5 linked regions of the Callithrix jacchus genome follow. The protein of the gene in region 4 interacts with the protein of the main gene of each other region in a pairwise test. Links are inferred from orthologs where the notes say so. Each region holds a gene or a part of one and is shown on either strand. Other genes may lie near its edges. The genes, in order: PIAS3, PIAS4, TOPORS, SATB1 and UBE2I.

What was found.
Region 1: the proteins of SATB1 (region 4) and PIAS3 interact in a two-hybrid assay, tested with the Homo sapiens proteins (2 studies listed by BioGRID and IntAct). The link is inferred for Callithrix jacchus from reciprocal best matches to the Homo sapiens genes SATB1 and PIAS3.
Region 2: the proteins of SATB1 (region 4) and PIAS4 interact in a two-hybrid assay, tested with the Homo sapiens proteins (2 studies listed by BioGRID and IntAct). The link is inferred for Callithrix jacchus from reciprocal best matches to the Homo sapiens genes SATB1 and PIAS4.
Region 3: the proteins of SATB1 (region 4) and TOPORS interact in a two-hybrid assay, tested with the Homo sapiens proteins (2 studies listed by BioGRID and IntAct). The link is inferred for Callithrix jacchus from reciprocal best matches to the Homo sapiens genes SATB1 and TOPORS.
Region 5: the proteins of SATB1 (region 4) and UBE2I interact in a two-hybrid assay, tested with the Homo sapiens proteins (3 studies listed by BioGRID and IntAct). The link is inferred for Callithrix jacchus from reciprocal best matches to the Homo sapiens genes SATB1 and UBE2I.

The regions. Positions count from the first base shown.
Region 1 is NC_133519.1:8,291,602-8,295,593, forward strand, and holds the start of PIAS3 (E3 SUMO-protein ligase PIAS3), read right to left. Parts: upstream 2,803-3,992; 5' UTR 2,712-2,802; coding exon 2,688-2,711; intron 712-2,687; coding exon 294-711; intron 138-293; coding exon 53-137; intron 1-52. UniProt on the Homo sapiens protein: Functions as an E3-type small ubiquitin-like modifier (SUMO) ligase, stabilizing the interaction between UBE2I and the substrate, and as a SUMO-tethering factor.
Region 2 is NC_133523.1:3,790,940-3,794,450, forward strand, and holds part of PIAS4 (E3 SUMO-protein ligase PIAS4), read left to right. Parts: intron 1-1,541; coding exon 1,542-1,672; intron 1,673-1,783; coding exon 1,784-2,043; 3' UTR 2,044-3,511.
Region 3 is NC_133502.1:139,735,166-139,739,120, reverse strand, and holds the start of TOPORS (E3 ubiquitin-protein ligase Topors), read left to right. Parts: upstream 1-1,155; 5' UTR 1,156-1,305; coding exon 1,306-1,308; exon of another isoform or gene 1,309-1,415; intron 1,416-2,753; coding exon 2,754-2,948; intron 2,949-3,955. UniProt on the Homo sapiens protein: Functions as an E3 ubiquitin-protein ligase and as an E3 SUMO1-protein ligase. Probable tumor suppressor involved in cell growth, cell proliferation and apoptosis that regulates p53/TP53 stability through ubiquitin-dependent degradation.
Region 4 is NC_133518.1:57,115,764-57,120,026, reverse strand, and holds the start of SATB1 (DNA-binding protein SATB1), read left to right. Parts: upstream 1-1,454; 5' UTR 1,455-1,460; coding exon 1,461-1,671; intron 1,672-4,263. UniProt on the Homo sapiens protein: Crucial silencing factor contributing to the initiation of X inactivation mediated by Xist RNA that occurs during embryogenesis and in lymphoma.
Region 5 is NC_133513.1:3,564,864-3,568,905, forward strand, and holds the start of UBE2I (SUMO-conjugating enzyme UBC9), read left to right. Parts: upstream 1-1,242; 5' UTR 1,243-1,378; intron 1,379-1,708; exon of another isoform or gene 1,709-1,975; intron 1,976-4,042. UniProt on the Homo sapiens protein: Accepts the ubiquitin-like proteins SUMO1, SUMO2, SUMO3, SUMO4 and SUMO1P1/SUMO5 from the UBLE1A-UBLE1B E1 complex and catalyzes their covalent attachment to other proteins with the help of an E3 ligase such as RANBP2, CBX4 and ZNF451.

The sequences.
Region 1 (3,992 bases), on a different chromosome or scaffold from region 4:
AGCCCAGGGGTAACCCTCCAGGGATGAGGCAGGAAGACTGAAAGAAATGTACCTGGATGTAAGAATCTGCTGCACTTGCTGGGGTGTGAGGGCAAAGGTAAAGTGTGCTTCCTCAAACCGCTGGCTGGAAGTGGATGCTGAGGACACAAAATGGCAGTTATTCCAAGCCCATGCACAGGCAGCCACAGAAATCACCCCCATCCATGCCGCCAATCCCACAGTACTAAAGCCTCTGAAATGTTTGGGGAACAGCCATGGAGTCCAGAAGACTAAGGGACCACAAAGAGCCATACCAAGGGTGGTGGGCCGGATGAGCTCCCCGTAGACCTCATAGAAGGGCAATGGTTTCATGGTGACATCAGGGTGCACAGGCTGGGGCAGAGGGGGGTGCATGTCCACCTCACGCTTGGGGCCCAGCAGGGTGCCAGGGGCCAACAGGGTTGGGGGAATGGGAGCTAGAGGGCCAGGGGAGCCTACAGGAGAGGTGCCAGGGGGCAAAGAGAGCAGGGAGAGATCAGAGGGCCCCAGGGCCTTCCGGGGAAAGCGACGTCGGTAAAGCTCTTTGATCTTCATCTGGACACTAGGGGCACAGCTGGACTTCAGGAGGTGCAGGGCCTTGGCCAGGAGCTCGTGCTTCCGTCCACTCTTGTTCCGGCCAGCAAAGCCAAGAAGCACCTGGAGCTCAGACACCCGGAAACTCATCACCATGTGCTGTGGAGAAGAACACAGGAGCCTGAGAATCCTACCTCGCACAGGCCTGTCCTGCCAAGACATGGGCTGAGCTACCAGTTGGGCAGTGCCTTTTTCCCTCCACCTTCCCTGATGGGGAAGATGATGCTTTAAGCTAGTGGATTACTGCCAGGTGGTCGACCTATCCAAAGGGACATCTCAGCCCCACTTTAGCAACCCAAAGGTCAGCAGATCACCACCCGCCAGAGCTTGAACAACACTATCTTCCCAGGCCTGCAAGCAGCCAGAGTGGGGCAGGGAATGCAGACAAGAAGCCATCCTCAGGCACACCTCCGAGTCCACTGCAGCATCCCACCACCATCCCTGCCTCTAGTCTGGACTGTCCTTTAAGCTGCTTATCTTCTCTCTTGCCCTTTCTCAGACTCTCAAACCCATCCCAGCCTCCTGGGAAGAGGACAGGAGACAGGGAGAACCAGGGAGAGGAGACAATTCACGCCAGACTCACCCATGGGGAAGAAAGGGGCCAGGTGGCTGGAGGATTGTGCCCTTCAGCCCACCCCCCAATCACCTTAATTTGCCTAGGCTATTTCCCCCAAGCCTCTGAAGCTTTTGTGGCCAGGATTTTCAGGTCAGGGTTCAATGCTCATAACTCCCCCAGATCCTTTCTTGGAATCATTTATATAACCGCCCCTTCTGTGAGACTTAGTCCTATTTTTCTGGAAGGGAAACAGGACCAAAACTTGGGTCTGGGGGTGGGGGGCTGTTAACAGTAAACCGCTGAGTCCAGGTATCCTGCCTGATAACTCTCTGTCTGTCAGGAACCATTATCCCGCTTCTCTCCTACATAGAGAAAGTAACACCCCGCTACAACCTACAGCCCCCCTGTAGGAGTGGAAGAGGAGAGGGCAGAGCTCTAAACAGAGGCCCTGGCTGGCTGAAGAAAAAGCCTCTGAGTCAGGGCACAGAATCGCAAATTCTCTGAAGGTAACTGGGCCCAGTGGCTAGACCTCCAGCCTGCCCAGGACCATAGCTTCATTGCAAAGGGCAGAAGAAGCAAGCCAGGAGGCAGGGGGATGAAGCCAGTGGTTTAAGGTTTTATCAGATGTCCTCACACGTGGTCATCCTCAAAACTCTGTGAGGCAGAAGGGGAGCGCTCTCCTTAGGGGACTCCCTTCTGTGAATCTCCAGGAGGTCATGTCGTGGGCAGGGCATGCTGGTCCTACACAATTCTTCTCATAGGAGGCTTTGTCTTGGGCCCCTTTTGTGGAACGTGATGAGAAACTTGCTCCTCTTTCTCCCCATCCTTATCTCCTCGGTCCTGTCTTTTTTTCCCCATTAGCTTTCCCTGTAACTTCCCTCCTTTCTATCCCACAGTTTCACGTGCCTCTGCCGCCGCCCAAACACCGCGATTCACTAAGGCAGCACCTTCCTCCGCGCCTCCAGGATGCTTCTGCCCCACCCCTCGGTGTCGGCCCGCACAGCCCCGCCCCCTACATCTCAGCCGCCTACTGGTATTTCCCAAAGCTCGGATCCCGAGAGCACCCCCAAAGCCCCTATCCTCTCGGCTGCCTTTCCCTCGGAGCCCCCCCCACATCTGCCCCACGGTCCCATCCTTGCATCTGCCCCCTGCTGTCGCATCTCTCGGCCTCGATGGACTCGCCCGGATGCCTCTACAGCAGCTTTTCCCCCTGGCCCTACCCCAACAACTGCCCCTGCTACTAAATCCGCCTGCTGCCCCTCGTCCCCGCCCCCTGCGCCTCAGCCCCCAGCAGCTGCAATTCCCCTCGGCCCCACCCCTACATCTGCCCCGCAGCCCCGCCCCCGGAGCCCGCCGCAGCCCCTTCCTCGCTCGCAGCCACTTCTCTCCCATCCTCAGCCGCCCGCCCCTGCCACGTCGCCGGCGCCCACCCGAGCCCCGGCACCCAGTCCCGGTCGCTTCCCGGACACGGCGCACCGCCGGGCTCAGGCCAGATGGGGGTGGGGGAGGGGGCCGGTACCTTTAATTCGCCCAGCTCCGCCATCTTGAGACATCGCAGGCGCCCCAGCCGGAGCCGGAGCTCAGGCCCAGGGACCGGCGCACAACTCTCCACCCCGGCGCCGGCCGCAAATGCCGCCTGCTCCGCCCCGTCCGGCCCCCTACACCTCCCCTTCCCGGCCCCGCCCGCCGGGCTTCGGACTAGCCCCAGCCTGAGCCCCTCCCTCCACAGCGGACCCAGCGGCTACACGTCTGCGGCGGGTTGGCAGGACGGGTGGCCTCCGAGGCAGCGTAAGGCCCCGAAGATCGCGGGGTCCCCGAAGGCAACGGAGAAGGAGGCGGGCCCGAAGTGCCCGGTGGAGGGTGGCTTTGCCACAGCAGAGTTGGGAGGGGACGAGCTTTTAGGGAGCCAAAGATCCTTGAAAGATGGAGGGAAAGTATCCGGAACTGCTAGACCTGAGAGAAATGGGGGAGGGGGCAGCGAAGTTGGAGCGCAAACCCTCGTCTCCAGCTCTACGTAAAGTTTAAGCAACTACGATCCAGAGTTCTTCCAGCCCGGGAAGTCAGCGAGCGCCGATCCGTCGTGGGGAAGCCGTGGAGTCGGCATTCGGTTCAAGACGGCCACGCTCAGTTGTTCCCACTCCTCCTCCCCCACACACCAACCACAATGCAGCTCGCGGTCCCATCGCAGGACCTCAGCTCCGCAGCGGAAAAGTTTGGTGCGGGGAGCGGGACTTACCAGCACAGCTGGGGGGAATGGAGAGAGGGCTCGGGAGGCTCAGAGGGCGGGCTGGAGAGGTGGGGGCAAGGGGCTCCGCGCCGCTGCTGCTGTCCGCTCGGCAGAAGTTCGGTCCGGAGCCGGACGCAGCGGCCGCGGCTCCGCCCGGGCCGGAGCTCCGCCCGGCCTAGCACTCGGGCTGGGGCCGCCCCCTCCAAGGGAAGCCCGCCAGGACCGCGGAGAGGGGAGCGGGGCGGAGCTCGGGTGAGAGAGGGAGGGACTCAGAGCCTGGCTCTGGAGCGATTAACTCCTGGTGTGAGTGGATCTGGAGAAAAGAGATTCTTGGATCCCATCATTCTCACTCCCTCTGTGACCCCTCACGCTAATGTATGGGATTGGGGTGGTGGGATGCTGCTGTTACGGCGGTGTGATCCAGGTGTCTGACCGTATAAAGCAGTCTTCCTTCAAAAGACAACTGTCCCTTCCTAGGGCAAAGCCTGGGCCGGTGAATCCAAAGCGTATCTAGCAGTAAGTACTGCAGATACACATGCACAATACCTCCACCAGAGTCCCCATACCCTTGGTGTAGCTGAAGGTGAATACTTACCC
Region 2 (3,511 bases), on a different chromosome or scaffold from region 4:
TGAATGGCCTCTCTGTTCCCGGCCTGACAGCTGTGCGGCCGCTGCCCGCCTTCCCCCACAGGCCTGAGCTGGGCTTGGGCTCTCGGCTCCAGGGCTGGCAGGGCTGGGCCAGGCAGCCGTGACCCACGTAGGCCTTGGTCTCAGCAGCCACCGGTACTCCGTGTAGCCAGGGAGGCTTCCTGAAGGAGGGCTCCTTGGTTCATACATTTCTCCATGAGGCCTGTCACCTGTCTGTCCCTAGCCCTGAGCTGGGTGACCCCAGGGTTCCCAAAAGAGTCATTTCCCAGACCCTGCCTTTGGAGAGCCTTGCTAGGGGCGGATGGAGGAGCAGAGCCAGGCATAATGTTCCTGCTGCTGTGCCTGTCAAGGAGGGGAAGGGACGCTGTGGGATGGGGTTTCAGAGGCTGAGTAGGAGTTTGCAGGCAAAGAAGCAAGCAGGCAGAGCTGGTCCCATGCCTGGGATGGCCCTGGCACAGTGAGCTCTGAGCATTGCCTCAGGGTGAGGGTAGGAGGGGTGGGCGGGGCTGACCTGGGTGAGAGGAGTCCCATAGGCCTCAGAGGGTGGCCCAGAGCGTGAAGAGGCCTCTTCTCCTTGGTGATGAGAGTGACGCTGCCGCAGGCACCTGGGAGCCGCTGCAGCCTTGACAGTTACAGGCCAGCCTGCTCTGTGATACGTGGCCCTGCCTATACCTGTGGGCATGGGGGGGTCTCCCTTCAGATGCCCCCGTTGGCCACTGCACCCTTCCCATTCTGCAGGTGGGGAGACCGAGGCCCTTTGGCTAGGATGCCCCAGAACCAGGGCCTGCCTCCGATTGTCCTTGGGTCCTCAGGACTCATCCGTTTCCTGGGCCTCTGTTTGCCCATTTATAAAATAGGGCTGTTAGGACTCTTGAGTAAGAAGGCCGGACACTGGGTGGGGTGCAAGCTCTGGAGAGGCTGTGGCTGTGATGGGCATGGGGGGATCCCCGCTCTGCTCCCAGTGCTACCCTCACAGCCTCTGCAGGATCTTTGAGCAGCCCACACCTTCCCCCCAAGGAGGTTTCCTGGTCTGCTGGCACACAGTGCAATGTGAAGGCATGAGTGTGCGCACCCCCACAGGCTCACACTTGGCACGTGCACGCCACATGCTTACATGTCTGCAGCCTGCGCCTTCACATGCACGCGTGCCTACATTAACACAGCGCATGCCCATGTATGCACATGCTCATGTGCCCACGTCCGAACAATCCACATACACGTGTGTGCACATCCACACATGCATACATTCACATGTGTGCACGTACATACACTCACACGTGCTCATGGCCACACCATCCACATATGCATGTGTGTACCTGCAGACCTGCCTAGGGCTCAGCAGCTGCAGGGGCCGTGGCAGGGAAGGAAGGCAGTGCTCCTGGGCCGCCCTGGTCGGGGTGGTGAAGGCGCTCTGGCACAGAGAAGTGGGCAGTGGCTGGCTGCATTTGAACGGGATGGTGTGCTGTGGATTGCGTGGGCGGGGTGCCCCCAGCCCAGGGCTCAGCTTCTCTGCCTTGCTCCAGCCTCCTCTCGAAGATCCTGAGCGAGTGTGAGGACGCCGACGAGATCGAATACCTGGTGGACGGCTCATGGTGCCCAATCCGTGCCGAGAAGGAGCGCAGCTGCAGCCCACAGGGCACCATCCTCGTGCTGGGTGAGTGCCTCGCCACCGCTGACTGCACGGTCCCCAGCCAGGCCGCCTCAGTTTCCCTATTTGTCAGTAGCTGCGTCCTAAGTACCTTCGTCCTGTGCCTGTCGCCTGCAGGCCCCTCAGATGCCAGTGGGCTCCTGCCCACTCCCAGTGTCAACGGGAGTAGTGCACTGGGCAGCACGGGTGGCGGCGGCCCAGCGGGCAGTGTGGAGAATGGGAAACCGGGCACAGACGTGGTGGACCTCACGCTGGACAGCTCATCGTCCTCGGAGGATGAGGAGGAAGAGGAGGAGGAGGACGAGGACGAGGACGACGAGGGCCCCCGGCCCAAGCGCCGCTGCCCCTTCCAGAAGGGCCTGGTGCCAGCCTGCTGACCCTGGCCGGACACGCGACTTTCCTGGTGCTCACCACGCAGAGGGGCGCGGGGCCGGCCTTGGGCGCAGAGGGAGGAGTGACCTTTTTTTTCTTTTTATTGTCGTTCGTTTTGTTTTTCCACCCCGTTGCCTGGCTCCTGGCACCTGTACCTCTGGACTCTCCTGTCAGGGGATTAAAAAACAGTAAAATGACAAAAAAAAAAAAAATACAAAAAAAATGAAACGAAAAAGTCAAACTCTTAAAAACAAGGCCGGCCACCCACACAGCCACCTCCCCGGCTGGAGTCAGAGCCGGGCAGGGGTGGTGGGCGGGAGGGACCAGGACGCCGCCCCGCATCCTCCCCTCAGGACACCCTGCTGCCCGCTGCCCTCTTCCCATGACCATTTCAGCCAGGGCGCAGGGACCCGGGCGGCGGGGTGGGGCGCAGCCCCTCTCTGGCAGCCACTTTGTCGTGTGTCTCTTCCTTTGCTTTCTCTCTGCAAACGCGGCCTCACCCAGAGACCCTCACGCTCCTAGCAGCGAGCGTTTTAGCCAAGAAGCCATGGAGTGGGTTGGGGCAGGGAGGGGCAGGAGTGGGAGGAGGGCGGGCAGGTTGAGGGCACGGTTGGGGGCTGGGGAGGGTTTAGCCACAGATGTGTTGTATTTTTTGAAAGTGCAATAATTTGGTATTTTGAAGACCCGGCGTGTGGCCAGGAACCCCTGGGGAAGGTGGGGGTCAGGGTGCGGCACCGTGTGGCGTGGGGGGGTCTCAGTTTTCTAGCCAGCTACCTCGGTAATTCCAATTCAGGTTAACTTCCCTACGGAACAGCACAGATGTCCACAGATGTCCACAGCTGCCACCGCCGCCACCACCACACCCTGGTCCTCAGGACGGGGGGTGGTGGCTTCCCAAGGGGCAGTGGGGACTCCGGCCGCCCTGGCTCTCGGTTTGGGTTGATTCCTCTCCCTTCTTTTTGCTCTTGGGTTTTCCGACGGGTACGAGGCTGGCCCGGCACCCTGTCCCCCGGGAGCCTCGCTCTTCCAGCGGGACCAGACCAGACGGGGCCTCCCTCCTGTCCCCAGGGGTTCCTTGCCCCTCATAGGCCCCACCCATGCCCTTGGCCTCAGGGTCCAACAAGGGGGGGCTTTGGGGGCTCTGCCTCCAGGAGCCTGTAGCTGGGCGACCCCTCGCCCCCCAGGAGACCGGGGCGCAGGCGGGGCGCCGGCCTCACCTGGTTCTCCAACACCGCTCCTTGCGGTCTGTTTTGCTTTTGTCTTCCCCGGCCCAGAATCTTCCTTTGTATAAACAGAACTCCTAGTCAGGAAGCAATATCATTTCAGGTCTACAGAAAGGGACGTGCATCTGGCCCAGGGCAGCTCAGTCTCTGCAGAGCCGGCAGCCCGGCCCCGGGCAGCTGAAGGCCACAGTTTTCTAGTATTTGTATTCTAATTTAATTGTTTTTAAAAAATGGAAATAAAAAAAGGTCG
Region 3 (3,955 bases), on a different chromosome or scaffold from region 4:
GATGAACATGGAACAGAACTATCACCTCTGTAGACTTAAGATTTTCTACTAACTGTATCTTTGTTTCTCTAGGGTGATACAATTGTGGAGACCGGAGAAGTAATTCCACCAATGAAAGAATTTCCTGATCAACATCATTAAAGATTATGTAAAAATTTAAAAGGCTTATGAGCCTAAGTTTGTTCCTACATTACCGTATTTACTGAATTATCTGGAAGAGTGACTTAATAAAGTTTAATCTCAGAAATTGTCATACCTCTTTTCAAGCACTGTACAATTTGAGACTGAGTAATTTAACAATAAATAAAAACTAAACATGCTAAACAAATTCGAGAGACCACTTACTTTTTGTGGCCATTCTCAACTTGGAAAACAGGATATGGAAAAGTATTTAGTTACATGTTAGGTTTTTTCCTTACATAGTACTTACTCTAATTTGGTATCAGGGTATATGCAGCAGAGTGAAATATCGCAATAAACAAATATAAGAGCAGAAAGTCCAGCACTTTTGTTTTAAATAAATCGTTCTGAGTCATTTAAAAGAATTTAGAAACTTGATTGAAAAGCCTATTCTAACCATGATCTGATACTCAAAGACTGTTTCGGATCTCGGTTGCTGTATTTTGTCATGAGAAGGTAAAATGCTAAAATTTCTATTTGAAAAATTTGCATACTAGTGCTTATTATAAAGGATAATACAAAAATAAACTTGGGAGCTTTGCATTATTAATTTTATTTTTAAATCTACATAAGCATGAGGGAAAGAAATGTAATTGCAGAGAATTAAATCCAGAGGAGTTACAAATTTTCATTCGTCCCAAAAATTATCTGGGTATTTCTTCCTTAGCTGTCGTCTTGCAGCCACCGTTGATGCATAGATGACGTAGCCCCAGGAGATTAAAACGATGGCAAGCAGCAACTAAAATAACCAAAAACCGCAAAAGAGGTGTGAAAACCAAAAAATTACTGTAATGTGCCTGATATTTCCCTTCGCCCCGGTCAGGTCACCCGTGCCATTGATAAGGTGGGAATTACAGTAGCAAAGTCGAATAAAGGGGGTTCCCGTGGCGGGTACACCCAGCAGCCCTCACGTAAGAAGCGGAAGATCGTATCCTCCAGGAAGAGGCGGAGTCGAGGTGAGGGAGTGAAATGCTTAATTCAAGAATGGATTTTGGAGTTACTGGGTGCTGACGAAATAGGGCCCTATGTCTGCAGGCCCAGTGAGTCGATAACGGTGGAGCCTCGCGAGCCCAGGGACCTACCACTGAGTAAATCCAGTCCAGCGTGCGACGACTCACTGGCTTCATGGTAAGGAGGCGGCAGCGGTCCGCGGGAGCCGGCGGGAGCTGCGGGCCTCATAGTAACCTCCCAGGCGGTGGCTGCCTAGCGGCAGCCGCCATCTTTCAGCCGGGCACAAGCGTCCGCCTACTCGCTTCTTGCAGCGCTTTCGCCGGCCTCTTCCGCCGGGAGTTGGGAGCGGGATCACGTGATCGGGGGCCTAGCCCGCCTTTTAGAGAGGGGAAGAAATAAACGTTAATTTTTTTAGAGAAAAATGTTAATTTTTTTCTTTCCAGCTAGAGAAATCGAGATAGGCGTGCTTCCACTGGTTTTCTTTCTAGTTGCAATGCATTAGTACTGCAGGATAAGGTGCTGTCGTGTCCATTTAAAAGTTAGTTTGGAAAACAATCTGTTTTAAATATTACATCGGCATCTAACGCTGGAAGAATTAACACTTTCTGCCCCGCCCCGCCTGCATCTGATACCACACAATTTTAATGGACGTTCGTCTGTTCATCTTTGACGTAAAAATAGCACCCACTCTTTTGTATGTGACAAATCATTGTGGGAACTCCTGTAAATCGAGCCATTCTTAAATGTGTAACTTGTAAAAATAATATCTCTAAGAAGAAATAGGTGGGACGCGTTAGCCGCCATAATGTACCAGTCAAGCAACAAGTGTTTGTTGAGCATGTCTGATGTTCTTCAACGGCCGCGCGTGAGATACTAAGCCCCGAGCACGGCAGTTTTGCGGGCGAGCGTACCAGGTTCAGCTCTAGAATGTTTGGGACGCTCACATTTAAGGCCTGAGGAGTAGAATCTGGCAACGGGCCGCTTTAGGCTCTAGACGTTCTTCATACCTCTCAGTTTCTCTTAAAAAGAGTGTCTAGATTTCAGGGAGTAGGAAGGGGAAAAGTGGAGAAAAACGTGTTTTGTTTGGGGAAGAGTCCAGGCCCTGTTTGTTAGGCTGTCCTGTTTCTCCCCAGCCTGGAGGGGATCCCTCTCTGAATACTTTATAGGATACTGGTTTTGGACTCCATGTCTTGCTTCCTGGAGATACACAATAGGAGGTGAGACTTCACGTCCGTGTAACAGTTCCCCTATCTAGACACTAGAGACAGTTTCGTAACTTCCCGCAGAGTTTGGTGAGCTTGAAACGACATCGAACTAGTTCTTGTGTTTTCTGGGTAAGTTAGGGGCGAACATTCAGCCAGTGTCCCAAGCGGCTGAGTACTACTGACGATGAGGGCCGTGCTCTCAGCCTGGGAGGGTCTCTCATCCCGGCTCTTGCGCGGCGGGGGAGGGGCCGCGTTTCAGCCGGCGCGCTGAGCCCCGCCCTCGAGGCTGGCGCGCGTCTGCTGCGCATGCGTGACGAAGGCGGGTGTTGTGTTGTGACGCGCCGGGAGCTGGGGGGTGGGTCTCGCTCTCTGCCCTGCTTCGGAGCTGCCATTGGTGATGAGCGCTTTGCGTCATAGGGGTCGCAGCAGCCACTGGGGTCTCCGCTGTCTCGCGAGGAGGGTGAAGCGCCCCCGCCTGCCCCCGCTTCGGAGGGTAGGCGGAGAAGTCGCCGGGTACGCCTTCGCGGATCCTGCCGTCACCGACCTACCTTTCTGGGCCGACGGGAGCTTGCGGCGAGCGCCCCAGCTGGGCCTGCGCCGGCGTCTTCCGAGGTGAGTGAGATCCGGAACAATGGGGCGCGGGGGTCGGCGGGGCTGGGCGAGCTGGCGCTCTCGCCTGGAGCGGCGCCTCGGGACCCGAAGGCTGCGGTCTTGGCCTGCGGTCTTGGCCTCCGAGGGCCAGGGCCGGGTTTCCCGGGCGGCTCCTGCAGCGCACCTGTGGATTGATGCGGGCGGGCGGGCGGGCGAGGGTTGCGCTTCCAACGAGCGCTCTCGAGGGGCGCGAGCTTGGCAGTGTACTGGAAAGAGCTTGGTCTCTGGGAAAAACAAAAAAGCAATGAGACTGAATCGTGGCGTCACCACTTACAGGGTGTGTGACCTTGCCTAGGTTCCCTAAGCCCCTGAATCTGTCTGTAAAATGGGAATAACAGTATTTAAGTTCATTATGTAATGCGCCTGGTGCTTATTTTAGGTCTGTCCGGTGGCAGTTCTGAACCAAAGCAAACGACTATCACCGTGGCTCTTGCACTCGTCTGTGCTGTTACGCATTCTGGGCAGAAATTGCCTGTGACTTGTTCATCCTTCCATTTACTGCAGCTTTCCTCATGGACTGCTGATTGTAGGCTGGAAAGGGGCAGTGCTGAGATGAGCCACATAGTGATTTAAGATGAAAACGGAGTAGACCTTTTGATAGGTAATTTTCAAGATTAAGATAAATTAAGAAACAGCTGCCCAAGATTTAAGTTAATGGTGGCAAGAGCTTTCTGGATTTTGTCCATGAAATGCAAAGAAAGCTATACAATCAGCTAAAACCAATCATGCTTGTCTGCAATGAGTCGTTTTAGAGGGGAGCAGTTCCCAACCAATTCTTATTGCTGGAATTGGAGTTAAATTTGGTAGGATCTCGTCAGGTAGATCCTACAAAAAATTTGATAGGATCTCGTCAGGTAGATCCTACAACTCTTGTGCATTCTTTTGGAATTGATTAAAATGCAGTTCAGAGAGGTACAGTGATTTTTTTTTAAGGTGGCAAGAGGTAGGAACCAGTTTATTTTTAATAC
Region 4 (4,263 bases):
AAAGATAAATAGCCATTAATGTTTCTCAAACTTTATAGTTCTTCAATTGGTATTCTTAAGGTTGCTTTTAAATCTCTAGATTAACATTGCTGTCCCCCTTTTCTTGATTATATGGTAAGAAGTAGGCTATGGTTAAACAGAAGAAAAAAATGTTTACAGAAAAACCATGCTGATACAAACTGGCTTTCAACAAATCCAGATTTAAATAGCTTCAGTATAAGAATTTAAAACAAAAACAAGCTATGTCAAATTACTAGACAGCTAGGAAAAATGGTAATTATTCTCTGGTTTTCCTAAATATGAAACCCTTAGTTTTATGAGCTCAATACTTCAAACACCATGAAAGTTCATAAAATAATTCTAATTACCTGTTCTTATCAATCCTAGTTAAAACTATACTTTAAAAATGACTTTTATATTGTCTAATCACTTTACTGTAAATGATGTGAAAATTGATGTCTAATACATAACTGAAAATAATTATCTGTTAATGTTTTGAAGTTAATTATGATGTTAACGCCATTGCATGCTGAGGTTATTTCTGAATACTGGATATTTTGTTTTACCATTATCATCAAGGTTTTTTTGTTTTTTTTTTTTTCCTATAGCTTGACACTTCAACCTAATGTGCATATCATGAACTATATTCAATTTTTAAAAAATATTTATTTTTAACAGCCCTCTATTACTAATGTACACCTAAATATTAACTCTAAAACACATGAGTTTAATGCATCAGTACATTGGATATTTGAAAACCTTTCACTTCTTTCTGTTTGCTTAGGGGTAAACTGATCCAATCATGTGTTTGACCCAAAACTTGACTAGGTCTTTAACAAGTCACATAACTCTTGAAACTTTGGTAGTAGAAAACTTTTTCTAGGCATTAACTTATGCCACTGGGGAGTTTAAAAAGCAGTTAGATGTTTGTTACTTTCTTTAGAGCTGGTTTATGTGTTTTTTATAAGAATTAAAACATATGTAAAAATAGAAACATATACATTAGATTTCTAATATTTTGAACTGTGATAATCTTTCCATCCTTTATTAAAGTGTTTCTGCTGTCTTTTTGTAATGAGTTTCTAGTTGTTAAAAATTGGGACTGCATAAATACAATTTGCTGTTTTCTTTTTAGCTATACTTCTGATAATTCTAAAAGTAAGCCCATTTTTCCTCGCTTTTTTTTTATAGGCCAATTACCTTTTTATTCATGTGTATTGGTACAGTTTCCACAGATCATTCTGTTAATTTGAATAAGAATGTAGGGCTATTATCTAGAAACATAGTAACATCTGTATTTTATCTAGAAAGGCCATTTTACAAATACATTATATTAGTAGAGAGAGATATCTAGAGCTAAAACATTTACATAGGACACATATATGCATACGGGTCCCCAACCAATTGTAACGTGTCTTCTTTTTAAATTCTGGCAGGTGATCTTTAGACAGTGACTGAGTATGGATCATTTGAACGAGGCAACTCAGGGGAAAGAACATTCAGAAATGTCTAACAATGTGAGTGATCCGAAGGGTCCACCAGCCAAGATTGCCCGCCTGGAGCAGAACGGGAGCCCACTAGGAAGAGGAAGGCTTGGGAGTACAGGTGCAAAAATGCAGGGAGTGCCTTTAAAACATTCGGGCCATCTGATGAAAACCAACCTTAGGAAAGGTAAATACTCTCAAGCCAAATCCTGGAAAGCTGAAAGCCCTGGTGTCTACACAAGGCCACATTGTGTGGGGGTGGAGTGGCAGAACATGTTTTGTATACTCTGCCTTTATTCTCTTTCTGATCTTAAATTAGTTACATTCTGGGTCCTTAGTATCAATCATGTTAGAAAGTATAGGCTCCATGCTTGGGTGGAGCATTTTACTGTAGTCTGGAATCATTGGACATTTCAGATTCTAAGGACTGAATTAAATATAATGGTCTTAGTTTACACAGGGGTCCATTCACAAGGTGTTACAGTAGAGGATTGTAGGCGGCTGTTGCTTTAAACTAACCTGATTAAGAATAAAACACTTAGGTGGTTTGAGAGCTACCCTAGCTTCTTTCTAAGATTTTTGGTTGTAAGGCAGTTTCAGAGATCTTAAAAGTCTTACACAGAAGTTTGTCATGTTATTTTTCGTGGCTTATTTTCTTCAGAGAAAATTCATTAGTATTGAAAAATCTGATGATTCTGGTCTTTAATTTTTGTTTTAATTGGGTATGCTTGATGAAGAAAGAACAGATTTAGACAAGTTTAAAGGGGAAGATGTGTAACTGTGTGACTCTTTTCTATCAATATTAAATTGATGCGGTTTAACAACTTTGACTGTGTTTAACAGTGTTGTTCCTGTAAAGCAGTGCCTCTCCCGGGTGTAATGCCTGTGCCTCATAAGGAGCTTCATTCTGTGTCTAAATAACATGTATAGGAATCAGATTTTCCTTATAATAGCTAAGCAATGGATTAAAAATGCTATATTTTAGCAACCAAGAATATTAAGTAGCTAAAGTTAGAAGGCAGAGGAATTTCATTGTGTTTGATGCATAACATTTATCATACAATCATTTATTTTTTCCTTGGTTTGGCGAAAACAAAGAATATATTGATCCTGAAATGAACAGACACAGCAGTCCGTATTGTTAGATCTTTATCTATTAAAAATGGAAAAACAGCACTTCAGCAAATTCTTTGGCCTCTACTCATGATTACCCTATTTATTGATTGTTTGCCAAGAATGTATGCATCTTAAGAAAGCCAGGGTAAGAGCATTAAAAATATAATTTATTACGGCTTTTCAAACAGAGTACATTAATATTGTACTGTGAAGCACTGGGGCTCTATAAAAAAGACTTTCTGACGCCTGCAAACATGTAAGTTCCATAAATTCCTAAATAGGAGATTTCAGCTGTCTCTGGTATTATGTGATATTTGCACAGCAAACTTTAATGCCAGGACAGTTTTAGACAAGGATTCTACAGACTTCACTGCTCCTTATGGCAGACGTGCTGTTTACACAGGCTCATAAACCTTCAGCAAAAGCTTCTAAGACTGCCTTCAGGTTTAAATCATGTGGTATTTTTAGCATTCAGCAGTGACCAGTGCTCTCCCCTTTAAATGCTGGAAGGTTATGAAGTCGCTGTAGTTGGAACTCTCACCGAACACTTGCACGAATAATCAGACAGTTCAGAGAAGGCTTATGTTCAGCGTTATTCCCAGGAACAGGAGGGTAACCGCAACAGTTTGCTAGAAGATCTGTAATTAGATGATACTCTTGTTACTTTATAGACATCTTTATTATTTTAGGGTACCTCTAAACATAATCGATAAAATCCAAAATAAATCCAATATATTTCAATAGTTTGAAAACCCTGCAGTTCATAGGTCTAAGGAAAAGCATATTGTAGAATACATCTGTTTAATCCTTCAAAAGGAAGAATCAATATGTGTGTTTTTGTTGTACTTACTCGACTCCTTGAAGATATCAGGACAGGAGGAGGAAGAACTAAAAGTACAGTAAATTCACTTCCTGCTCAAATGCTTTTTTGTTTTGTTTTTTGGATGTATGCTAAAAATGCAGTTTAATTGTAGAAGGGCCTCAGATACTTCAAATAACAAAATTGCTAAAGCCTTTTCATGGATTTTTATTAATATTTCCATCTTATTTTTCTTGTGCATGGTTTCTGTCTGACAGGTGCTAGATGAAAATTATGGCTGAGATGAGAAAGCACTACTAAGAAAAAGGGATTGAATGTTTTTATTTGTTTAGGCGATTTTGTCAAAATATCTTCAAGCCAAGGAAGAAATCACCAGTTTGCGTATTGCTATTTTTGCTGTGGTCTCCCCAAGTTGTCTTCTGATCCCTGACGGGTTCTCTCGCTGGTATAAAACAGCTGAATGAATGACAAAAATATTGGCAAGCTCTGCAGCTTGTTTTTCATGCTTATCCTATTGGTACCTCTGAATGAGTTTGTGAGTTTTCCTAAGTAAACCTAAAGGGGTTTATTTGTCAGAGCTAGAATCTCTTGTGAACAGTTCACTAAAGCTTTGGTGAAGACTCACATATAGAAAGATGTAGCTGTTTTATTGCCGGCTTTTGTTCAACAGAAACAGCAAATAGAGAATCTCTAAAGAGCCTCTCTGGTGTCAGTAGGAAATCCTGATTTTTAGCTACGGTTGCTGTGTACTACATATCTTCAGAAGTTGGTAGGATTCTGTGAGTCCAGAGGACAGAGCTTACAGAGGCATTAGTATTGTAGGACTAATTGTGGATCCTGGGT
Region 5 (4,042 bases), on a different chromosome or scaffold from region 4:
GAGAGAATGAGTGAGGGAGGGAAAGAGTGAGAGATGGAGGGAATGAGTGAGGGAACGAATGAGGGAGAGAGGAAATGAGTGAGGGAGGAAATGAGTGAGGGAGGGAATGAGTGAGGGAGGGAATGAGTGAGGGAGGGAATGAGTGAGGGAGGGAATGGGTGAGGCAGGGAATGAGTGAGGGAGGGAATGAGTGAGGGTGGGAATGAGTGAATGAGGGAGAGAATGAATGAGGGAGGAAATGATTGAGGAAGTGAAGGAATGAGTGAGCGAGTAAAGGAATGAATGAATGAATGAATGAGTCAGTGAGGGAGGGAATGAAAGAATGCGGTCATTCCCCGTGGTCCCCAAGCGCCCGGACACAGTGACCTTGGCAGCGACCCCGCCGTCGGCGAAATGGGGGTGGGCGGGCCAGGAGAGCCCGGGGCCAGCACAGCCGCGCGTTGGCGGAGCGTCCAGCGCGCTCGCGGGGCTGGGGGCCTCCCGACCCGGTCCCCGCGGTTGGCGCGGGGATGGGAGTGGGGGTGGGGCCGGGAAGCGCCCCTCCCCCACGGGCCCGCCCCGCCCCCGCCGCTCGCAGGCCCCGCGCCCCGCCCCCGCCCAGGGTCCGCCCCCAGGTTAGGGAACATCCTCACTTCTCCTCCCGTCGGTCATGCGCGCATTCGGCCTTTTGTACCGGGTCAGCTCATTGGGCGGATGAGAAGATTTCCCCGCCCGCCGCCCCGAACTGGCCAATTGCAAGAGGTTTCACAGGGCGCTAAACTAGCGGGAGCGTCACCGTCCTGCGACGCTTCAGGGTATCCTTAGGCCTCAGTGGTCTTTGCCCCCAGACCCCAGGCCCTGACCCCAAGGAAACCTCCGGGACGTGTGCCTGGAGAGGTGACTTCCGGGTATCCAGGGAGCTTTTGGAGTTCTCGGCCTCCTTTTGCCCCCGCTGCTCGCCGGCGCGTCCTCGGATGGACGCGGGCGCCCCGAAGGGGAGTTTGCAGACGCTCCCTCACATCGGGGACGCGGCTCCTTTAAGGGTGTAGGTGTCCAGGGCGCCGCCTGACTGGAAAGTCGCCCCCCGACCGGGCTCCTGGGGCGGACCCGGGTCGCGGGCGCGCGGTGGCGGGGCCCGGGCGGCGGGGGGCGGGTGGTGGCGCGGGCAGCACTCGGGGCGGGACGGCGGCGGCGGCGCGCGAGGCAGGCTTGCGGAGGGCAGCCCCGCGCCAGGCCCCGCCTCGCGCGCCCCGCCCGCCCCAGGGTCCTCGGAGCTGCTCGGGCTGCGCGCGGAGCGGGCTCCGGAGGGAAGTCCCGAGACAAAGGGAAGCGCCGCCGCCGCCGCCCCGCTCGGTCCTCCGCCTGTCCGCGACGCTCGCCGGGGCCGCGGCCGCCCGAGGTGAGCGCGGGCGGGGGCCGGGCCGGGGCCGCGGGGCGGGGGCGGGCTAAGGCCTCCAGCGCTGTCGGGCCCGGGCCCCCGGCTGCCCCGCGCCCCGCCCCGCCGAGCCCGGGCCCCGCGTCGCGGCCGAGCTTCCCAGAGAGGCCCCGCGCTCGACGCCGGCCCGGCCCGCGGTGCTGGCGTCGCGGGGCTGTAGCCCGAGCGCCCGGTTCGCCGTAGGCCCTCGGGGCCGGGGCTCCCCCACTTCGCCCTCGAGGTGCGCCTGGCGCGGGGCCGGGGCAGCCACCTGCAGCCGGGGCCCCGCGAGGCCGCGCCTTCCTCCTCCGCGGCGAGCGGCTTCCGGGGTCACGGTCGCCCGCGGACGACGAGGATGGGCCTCCGGGGGGAGAGCCGCGGATTGCAACAGCGCTGACTCGCGCGGGTGGGGGCCGGCGGGCGGGCGGGCGGCTCTTCGGGGCCTTCAAACCGAAACGCGTCCAAGTTCTCTCGCGCCGCTGAAGACGCCCCGCCGGCGCCGCTGGTGGGAGTTTGGTCCGGTCTCGGGCCGCTTTGTACCGGTTGAATCGTGGTTGGCTCTGGAAGTTGGGGCCGTAGGAGGCAGGTGCGGGGTGACGCGCTGGGCTTGTGGTCGTGGCCTGCGGTCAGGCGCGAAGCGCAGGACGAAGTGGTTCGGGGTGTGGAGTCGGGAGTCACGTTTAGTTCCTCTGTCCGCGGAGTCTTGGGGGATTTCGTCGGTTTTCTCCCTAGGACTCACCCCACCCGTTTCTTGCTCTTTAAAGAAACGTTGCCTTTGGGTAGAGAACCTAGCGGAGAGAACACAGGAAGGACCCTCAGTTTGCCCTGGGGGCTCACAAAGAGGTCCCTTCCCTAGGCTGTTGGGTGGCTGCAGGTGTCCCGGGGTTTGGGATCTCGCTGCGGAAACAGCCCGGGGGCCTGGGACAGACAGGTCAGGTGCGGCCAGGTGAGCGTGTCCCGACTGCAGGTGCCCGGGTCGTGCAGAAGGGAACATCCTCCCGGGCCTGGGAGAGTGTGCATTTGGGTGCAGGAGGACCTTTGAGGGCTTCAGGTGCGAGCCTGTCGGGGCGCCCACCTGTTCTGGTGATGAGGGCTGCGGAGCTGTGGGCGGCACTGTGGGAGATGGGCGCTTTGCTCACCCTCAGCCAGGAAGTTGCTCTGAAGTGGGTGCAGTCGGCCAGCAGAGCCAGGTGGTGATCGGACATGCTCAAGCTCAGCCCTCTGCGTGTGCCCTGTGGGAGGGCAGGCGGCAGACTTTCGGGCAGCTCCTGGAGTGCCCGGCCCAGAGGTCCCGTTGCTGCCGGTGTCTGGGCCTTGCCTGGCGCTGACAGAAGAGTTGTTTTTGTGTTTGTAGCGTAAAAGTTTCCTGTTTTGAAGCCCTTAGTGACTCCTAGCTGTTCACTAAGTGCCTATCTGTTAGTTGGGGAGGATGGATTCAGTTTTCAGTGGGATTTTTGAATGCTGGGTCTGTGTTGTGATTACATTGTAACAGATGGGCCACTTTCTCCAGTGGGCAGGCCAGCAGGAGGGGGAGCAGGGATCTTGGAGGCCAGGCCTGGCTTCTGCCTAGGATGGGTGGGTGTGCACCTGTGGCTCCCTGCCCTGATGGTAGAGTGTCCTGTACGACCCCCGCCTGGTGCTGAGTGCTTTGGGGCTGGCGGCACAGCGGCAGCAGCCCGGTCTTGGCAGGAGGTTTGGCAGGACCACCCTCATGACTTCTCACACCTGAGGCAACAATAGCTGGGGGCTGAGCACGGCCTCTGGGCGGCCCTGTCCAGTCCTCAGCAGGAAGGCCACCTGTGGCAGAGTCCCAGGCCTGCTGGCCTCTCCATGGCCTGGTCTTGCCTGGCTGTGAGCATCGGTGCCCATGGTCCTTCAGTGACTGGAGCGCTGGTCTGGGGCTTCAGAGGCCCGTCTGATGCCTGGCCCCGCTCAGACCATGGGCACCTGGGAGCTGGCGCCTTCGTGAAACAGCCACTCGCCAGGCTGCTATGCACTGCACAGGGCACAGGTTGCAGCCACTCAGAGACTCCTCCCTGGGGCTGGGGAAGCAAGAGCCCCTGAGTTCTCAGGCCGCCGGTACCAAGGTGGTGCTGGGCTACTCCATGTGGAAGAGCCAATGGAAGGGGAAGGTGGAGAAAACTCCACACCGGCTGGGGTGTGGAGTTTCAGACCCCAGCCAGTGCAGAGAGAACCTTGAAACCGTGGTTGGCGAGCACTCCAGCCTGCTTGGGACCCATACCCTGCCTGCCCCCAGCTCGGCCCAGCTGTGTCCTCCCCCACTTTCTCCCGACTTAGAGGAGGGTGTGGGGAAGGGCAAGCGGTCAGGAGGGCAGGTGGCCTGTGGACCCTCTGCGTCTCAGTGAGGAAGATGTGGGGAAGGACATCCCAGTGGGGCCCAGTCCGTGGCTGCCTCCAGCCCCGGCTGCCTGTCTTGGACTTAGTCGTGGAGCTGGAGGCCAGGGCCCAGTGGCCCCTGTCACTCTCTCCCAGTGCCACCAGCGCCTGCTGACTGGAGGACCCAGGTTCCTCTGCCTGCTTTTTCTCGGACTACCATGAGAACCCGTGTTTGGTGAAAATGAACCAAATCCCCCTGCAGGGCACGCGGCTCTAGCAACCCTGCCCGGCTTCCGGAACCCTGGTGCCCTG